2 linked regions of the Mus musculus genome follow. The protein of the gene in region 1 purifies or fractionates together with the protein of each later gene. This does not show direct contact. Links are inferred from orthologs where the notes say so. Each region holds a gene or a part of one and is shown in the gene's direction. Other genes may lie near its edges.

The links. Proteins that work in one complex are often made in the same cells at the same time.
Region 2: the proteins of Ipo4 (region 1) and Asf1b purify together in Homo sapiens (affinity purification with mass spectrometry; 5 studies listed by BioGRID and IntAct, counting the BioPlex papers as one, with this or other methods). This does not show direct contact. The link is inferred for Mus musculus from reciprocal best matches to the Homo sapiens genes IPO4 and ASF1B.

Annotation. Positions count from the first base shown.
Region 1 is NC_000080.6:55,632,885-55,637,126, reverse strand, and holds the start of Ipo4 (importin-4), read left to right. Parts: upstream 1-1,442; 5' UTR 1,443-1,528; coding exon 1,529-1,597; intron 1,598-1,677; coding exon 1,678-1,764; intron 1,765-1,915; coding exon 1,916-1,995; intron 1,996-2,080; coding exon 2,081-2,122; intron 2,123-2,717; coding exon 2,718-2,847; intron 2,848-2,932; coding exon 2,933-3,112; intron 3,113-3,349; coding exon 3,350-3,415; intron 3,416-3,520; coding exon 3,521-3,622; intron 3,623-3,709; coding exon 3,710-3,793; intron 3,794-4,001; coding exon 4,002-4,166; intron 4,167-4,242. Other genes in the region: Tm9sf1 (transmembrane 9 superfamily member 1 precursor), read left to right, coding at 515-908. UniProt on the Homo sapiens protein: Nuclear transport receptor that mediates nuclear import of proteins, such as histones, RPS3A, TNP2 and VDR. Serves as receptor for nuclear localization signals (NLS) in cargo substrates.
Region 2 is NC_000074.6:83,962,194-83,965,693, forward strand, and holds part of Asf1b (histone chaperone ASF1B), read left to right. Parts: intron 1-2,837; coding exon 2,838-2,953; intron 2,954-3,500. UniProt on the Homo sapiens protein: Histone chaperone that facilitates histone deposition and histone exchange and removal during nucleosome assembly and disassembly. Cooperates with chromatin assembly factor 1 (CAF-1) to promote replication-dependent chromatin assembly.

The DNA of each region.
Region 1 (4,242 bases):
ATGTGTTTTCTCATTCAGTTTGTTAAGTACCTTTTAAACAATACAGAAGGAAGTAAACAACACAGTATCTGCCCCCTCCACTTCTTTCTTGCTCCCATTTTGTAGTAGTGGAGTGTGCTTAGGGCCTCGTGCATCCTTTGGCAAGCACTGTTCTCTGAGCCACATCCCAGCCCTTTTTTACCTTTCATTTTAAGACTGTCTTAAGTTTTCCAGGCTGGCCTTGAACTTGCTTTTTAACCTAGATTGACTTTGAATTTGGCAATCCTCCTGCCTCAGCCTCCCAAATAGTAGTATTATAGATGTATGCCTACTCTAGTTAAGATGGTTGCTTTCAGCCTGTCAGGGAAGATGTTCATGAACCGAGAGCAACTAATAAACTAAGCTAATAGGCAGAAGCCTCCTGGAGCTCTCTTGATCGCCACAGCGCTACCGGAAGATGTGGCTGAGTTTGGCTCCGCGTGCTGTGGCTATGAACAGAGCTTTAATGATGTGCATTGTCTTTTTCTCTTCACAGCGCCATCTCCGTGGAGCTGTACTACATCTTTGCCACAGTCTGGGGTCGAGAGCAGTACACTCTGTACGGCATCCTCTTCTTTGTCTTCGCCATCCTGCTGAGTGTGGGGGCCTGCATCTCCATTGCGCTCACCTACTTCCAGCTGTCTGGGGAAGACTACCGCTGGTGGTGGCGATCCGTGCTGAGCGTCGGCTCCACCGGCCTCTTCATCTTCCTCTACTCAGTTTTCTACTATGCCCGGCGCTCTAACATGTCAGGGGCAGTACAGACAGTAGAGTTCTTTGGCTACTCTTTACTGACTGGCTATGTCTTCTTCCTCATGCTGGGTACCATCTCCTTTTTTTCCTCTTTAAAGTTCATCCGTTATATCTATGTTAACCTCAAGATGGACTGAGTTCTAAGCCACAGAACTCTGGCTCTTTCCTGCTTTCATCATGCCCCATTGATTTCACTTGATAGCTTCTCTTCTGACCGAATTGTGTGATGGCATTGTCGCCTTCCTTCCCTCTTTAGAGAGGACCTGGAAATTAAAAATCTCTATTATATAAGGAATATATATATTTGAACTTTTTAAGTTGCCTTACGTTTTGGTCCTGATTTTTTTTTTCTTTTTACAATTATTAAAATAAAATTTATTAAGAAAAAGGATCCTGTCGTTGGAAGTTTTGGTCTAGTTATAGAAACCCGAGGCCTGTTGTCAATGCAGTTGTTTTGAAAACCCGAGTTCGCTATTGCCACACAAACTCTGGACTCTGGGAACTGTCGGCACAGGGAACCCACGGTGCCGAGGCTCTGTCAGCGGGTGCTCAGGCAGACGGAAGCCCAGACTGACGCCAGCCACCAGCTTTCCGCAGTTTTTGAAGGGAAGCAAGCTGAATCACCCAGGCGACAGGAGAGACGCAGAGTAACGCCCTTTCCGCCGGAAGTTGCTGTCGGAGTCTCCACGTGCCGATCCTCCCCCTCCCCACCCGGCCCTGTAGCAGCGGCGGCGTCGGCGGCGGCTCGGCAGCTGCCATGGAGCCTGCGGGTTTGGAACAGATCCTGAAGGAGCTGCTGCTGCCCGACACGGAGCGCATCCGCCGGGTATGGGCAGGCCTGACCGGGCTACGGGGATGGGGAGGCTGTGGGAAAGGCCCGGTCTTGACCTCCCAGCCTTCCATCAGGCTACGGAGCAGCTCCAGACCATCCTTCGGGACCCTGCTGCCTTGCCCGCACTCTTCGATCTGCTGGCAACAGCGACCGACTCTCAGGCGAGTCACCTGCCCCTCCTTGCCGAAATTCTGAAATTCCTCAATGTGTCCCTGGTCCCGCTCCAGCCTCCGCCCCCTGCGGTCCTAATCTGTTCATCATCTTCTTGGTGCCTGTGATTCTCATTTGGCTGGCAACCTCTTCTCACCCCAGATCCGCCAGTTTGCAGCGGTCCTGACCCGCAGAAGGCTGAACAATCGCTGGCGACGCCTGGCACCTGAGCAGAGGGAGAGGTGGGCTAGATTTAGGATGGGAGGGGCCGGGCCTAGTCTACTTTTTGACAGGCCGAGTACTAAGCCTTTGCCACCTGTCTTCCAGCCTCAAGTCCCTGGTCCTGACAGCACTGCAGAAAGAGACAGTGTAAGTGTGGAGCACCCACTCTCGGGGGTCCTAACTGATTGGGGCTGAGATACTGGACTTCTACCTTCTTTTTCAGCCCCAGACTAGGACTTAATTCAGGCCTAGAAGGTGGAACATGTGAAAACTAAAGTTTTTTGTGATTTATTTTTCATTTTTTAATTTTTTGGTTTTTCTGAGACAGGGTTTCTCTGTGTGGCCCTGGCAGTCCTGGAGCTTACTCTGTAGACCAGGCTGGCCTTGAACTCAGAAATCCGCCTGCCTCTGCCTCCCAAGTGCTGGGATTAAAGGTGTGTGCCACCACTGCCCAACTAAAACCCTAAAGTTTTTGAGAATGGCTGAAAATGATCAGCTAAACCCAGATAGGGAAAACAAGACTGAATTGAATTCAGCCTGTCCAGTGGTGCTGACCGAGCCAGATCACAATGCCCCCCTCCTTTCCTCACCCCCAGCTGTCGGTGGTCTTATGGGGTCTGCCTTAGGAAAGACCGTGCACATACCTGCATTCTCTTTCTGGCCACTCCTTGGGCCTGGGGCATTGTTTGCAAGGGAAGGGTGGTAAAAGGTGTTTCTATATGAATGGACCTCCTCTTTGTAGGCATTCTGTGAGTGTCAGCTTGGCCCAGCTCTCAGCCACCATTTTTCGAAAGGAAGGCCTACAAGGATGGCCTCAGTTCATGAACCTTCTTCAGCACAGCACTCATAGTTCCCATAGCCCCGAGAAAGAGGTACTGGCACTGCCCTGTTGGCAGGAAGGAGGGACAGAGGCTGGATAGACCACGAGACCGTCTCTTCTCCCCTGCTCCTGTACAGGTGGGACTTCTGCTGCTGAGTGTGGTGGTGTCTTCCCAGCCCGAGGCATTCCATGCCCACCAGCACGAGCTGCTTCAGCTTCTGAATGAGACGCTCAGTGACGTCAGCTTTCCCGGAGTGCTCTTCTACTCCCTGCGCACTCTGACTGCCATCGCCCGCTATGTCAGGCCGGATGATGTGGTAAGTAAGACGCTGCCTGTATCTCTCGGTTTCGTGCCCTCGCTTTCAGAAGTCTTGGCCCAAGCTGCTTTCGAGTTTTATTCCGCCTCCCGTTCTTCCTAAGGGTTGAGGGCATAGCGTGTTAGCTGGGCCTGGCTGGCTCCTTAGATGGAGGCTTTGAGGAAGCCTCCAGCTCCTGGCTTCTGGGATGAGACCACCTGCGCTTTATGTGATTACGCTCATTCCTGTGTCTTCCAGTCTCTTGCACGGATGTTGGTGCCCAAAGTCGTTACGGCACTGAGGACTCTGATCCCCTTAGATGAGGTAAGGACAGACGGGAGGGGTCTCCTTTTGGAAGGAAAATGGAGGCACAAGCACCATGGTCCCCTAGAGGAGCGAGTACCCTGTGACTTACTTGTCTGTCTGCAGGTAAAGGCCTGTGAGGCCCTGGAGGCCCTGGATGAAATGCTGGAGACAGAGTTGCCCATCATCAACCCCCACCTCTCTGAGGTCCTCACGTTTTGCCTGGAGGTGAGCCCGGGGTGGGTGCTGCTCCTGCTCGCTGGTTTGCCGTTAAGTTTTCTTGCTTGTTTCTGATTCTTGTCGGTGTCTGTATAGGTGGCTAAGAATGTGGCCCTTGGCGAACCACTCCGCGTACGTGTTCTCTGCTGCCTCACTTTCTTGGTCAAAGTCAAAAGTAAGGTACGTTCCCTCTGGGGAAGTTACCCCATCCTGCTGTCTCCGCCATTAGTTGTGTTTGTAGGCTTAGTCCTGCTCGAGCCCTGGCCCAGCCTTCTCTCCCTGCCTAGGAGACGGGGAGTCTCTGGCTGGGGTCCTTGTGGTTGGGAGGCTGGGATTTTCCCATGAGCCTGTTCTGGGAAGATGCTCAAGGCTAGCCCTCCCCTCTTAGGCCTTACTAAAGAACCGCCTCGTGCCTCCCTTGCTGCACGCCCTTTTCCCCCTCATGGCTGCTGAGCCACCCATGGGCCAACTGGATCCTGAAGATCAAGATTCGGATGACGATGACTTGGAGATCGGGCTGATGGGGGAGACTCCCAAGCACTTTGCTGTACAGGTGATGTATTGGCCTTCTCGTCACTGTCACCCAATACTCAGAGAAACAGACACCTTAAGGGGAGGAAGTATTTTCA
Region 2 (3,500 bases), on another chromosome or scaffold:
CTCTTGTAATTCCAATACTTGGAAGGCTTGCAGATATGTTATAAGTTCTGGACTAGCCTACACTACATAGGAAGACTGTCATTTGTTCCTTTGTTTTTACATATGTGTATGTATGTGCGAGTGCTCGCAGAGGTTAGAGGACAACCTGCTGGAGTCAGTTCTCTCCTTCCATCATGTGTTTTCTGGAGAATGATTGTGCTGAGTCTTTATATTTTGTGGCAAGTGCCTTAATCCTCAGAGCCAATTCTAAAACCCAACTCTGTCTTTTTTTTTAAAGCTGTGTCTCACATATTGAGATTAAAGGCATATACCAGTGCAATCTATCTTTTGAAGGAAGAAAATATGAAAAAAATCATCAAATTTTAAATGACTGCAGTTTATGGGCCCTGTAGAAGATTTGATCAGCTCTGACTGTAGCCAGTCAGTATTTATGTGGTCTTTTGTGAATTCTTGGGTCTGTTTCTGGCCCATGTCAAGAAGATGCTTCCAGCGTACACTACAGTCTTCCTTTTAATAGATTTTACCAACAGTATTGACCTAAACTAAGCAATGTTAGGTGCCTTGGGGACACAAGGGACTCTTCTGTGTCAAGCTCTTTTTTTGCCTAGTCTTCCCTCCAACACATTAATTAAGTGTATGAATATGTGGCACCATGGAGTATGGGGAAGGGGCCTGAAGAAAGTAGAGCTTGACAGAGCCATCTTAGAAAGTGAGGCCAAGCAAGGGTCGCATACTTTTCTGTCCTTCCAGAATCATTGATTCTAGAGTGTCACTTTTTATAAAACTAAATTTATGGGTCTGGGAGCATGGCTCAGATGCATAGCACTTTTTTTGGCATGTACATACCTTAAGTTCCATCACCAGCACTCCTAAGAAATAAATAGCTAGGGACAGCTAGAAAGATTGTTCCACAGTTAGAGCACTGATTGCTCTTCTAGGGAACCCAGGGTTAGCTCCCATCCCACATAGTGATTAACTACTTCTATCTTAATGGGACAACATACCTTTCATCCAGGAAATTTGAAATTTCAATTTGGATTATAAGTAAGTTCTCACCCCATGTTGGTTTGCCAAAATGTTGTGGTAAATATTATTCTGGGGATTTCTATCCCACTTGGACTATATAGTTTTCAAATGAAAAACAATAACCTTTACCTTTATAATAAGCTTAAAAATTTTAGAGCTGGGCAGATATCAACCTTTTATGTTATTTTGTCTACTTCCCTGTCAATAACTGAGAACTTGCCATGTTCTGCCTGGCCACTCTTACTCCAATAGGTCATGCACTTACAATCCACCTATCTCATGGTAACTTCTTCCTTCTCTCTCACCATGTTCCCTGTCTGAGACCCCAAGCCCAGTACCTGAGGCCCTCCTTCCTCTCTTCTGCACAGCTACATACTGTAGGCATCTTTATTAACCAGTCGGGGATAACATGTGGAGCAAGGTTTACACAACAAAGGCTGGTATACATGAAGATATGCTCATCATGGAGTAACCAGATCTTGGGTACAGAATTTAGCATTTGAATACAAGCAGCACTAGACCAACCCCCTACAGTACCTGTAGTTCCAGCAGACCCAACACCATCTTCTGGCCTCTGTGGGTACAGGCACCAAAGGGCACATAGACCCACATGCAAGCAAACACCCACACACATAAAATAAAAGGAAAGGCACATAAGAAAATAAACTTTAAAAATGAAATAACTAAATAATTTCCCCAAAGTACTAAGGCTGGAGTTTGAACCTGATGAACCATGGGCATGGGGTTACCTAGAAAGATGTAGGTGGGATTGTGAAGGAACAAGAGAGTGGACGTGACGTATAAAGGAAAGCTTTATGGATCAGGTGACAAACTCCATAGTATGATCTGATATCTGTGTGCTTCCAGTGTTGGATGCCCGTACCACACTGGACCAAGAGCCAGGCAGCTTCCAAGAGCTCTCTGTGAAAATTTCAGCTTGTGCAACTTTTCCCAGCTGCTGGAGCTAGGGGTTGTGTAATTTCAAAGAGCCTAAAATAAGTTCTGGGTCTGGTGCCAAGCGTCTCTGTACTAGCATGACCTTGCTCCTGGTAACACTTGGCCCCTCTACAAGAGGCTATGAGTACCAGGGCTCTTCTGAGATTAATAGGAAGGGTCTCCAGGTACTTTTTCTTTGATCTCTTATGGGTATACTCCAGGACTGAGTCCCTTAGTGATGGAGTACATTGTCAGGTTTTGGAGGTATGCCTTGTCATACAACATTTGCTGGCAGAGCCTCTGTCCCACAATGTGCACAAGTAGGCATGAGTTGGTGCCAGATGTGGACAACTTTGGGACAAGTTGGTTCCCCCCCCCCCCCACAGCTTTGCCTTTCCCCTCCTGCCACCTGGCTCTCCTGCTGGATTGGAATCTGCCACCCTGCCCCAGTTATCGAGGGATTTGCTCTACTAGGTGGCACCAATCCTCTGTGAAAGAGAATGAGATGGCACTTCCTACCCAGAGACCAAGGTAGCCCAACTCCCTGCTGTTCCCTCACAAGCTGATGTCACAGGACTCAAGTCAGCCTCTACTATATGGTTCCTCTCGGCTACTGAGAGGCCTAATTTTCCCGGGAGGGCCAGAGTCAAGGTCACTTGGCCAAGTTAGGCCCACAGGAGAAATGTCTCCATTAAAATAGATCTTCATATTTGCTCTTAATCAGGACTGTGGTGCCAGAACCGACAGCCCAGCAAACACACCAGTTCATAGGACCTTCTAGTATATTCAGATTTGCCTAATGCTGACAAGAAGACCCTTGCCTTGCTCTCCAGCTATTTAAGACCTCAGTTCCCTTATCCCCCATGTTCTTGCAGACCTGGAGTGGAAGATCATTTATGTGGGCTCAGCTGAGAGTGAGGAGTTTGATCAGATCCTAGATTCAGTGCTGGTGGGCCCTGTCCCTGCAGGAAGGCATATGTTCGTCTTTCAGGTAAGTAAGTTTTGCTTTAGCTCTTGATTTCCAGAAATGTTTCAGGCTGGAGATGGAATCAGGGCCTGACATACTAGACATTCACTACTGAGCCACACCTAAGCCTAGAACCTTCCTCTTTTACCTGAAAGCACACTGGTTTTGGCAGTCAAGTTTAAGTTCAAATCCTTAAACTTGGACTGGTGACAAAACTACTGTAATCCCAGCTACTTAGGATGTAGAAGCAGGAAGACCACAAGTTCAAGGCCTGCCTGAGCCACATGTCTCAGTTGACTGCCAGGAGCTGTCTGATTGAAGCTATCTTTTAAAGGACCACCACTCTGAACTCACCCAGTCTCATCAGATGTCCTTCCCCTCCCCAGAAGTGGGGACCTCTGGGTCACAGTTCTTAGTGACCACTGGACCACTAATTTGTGATCTGTTCACAGGAGTTGTATAAAACCCATAAACATAGTTCATGAATATTGAACTATTCCCCTCAAGGAAGAATAAGGATCAAGAGTCCTTGTTACTTGTTTATCAGCCAGGGCTGGGCACAGCAGTATAT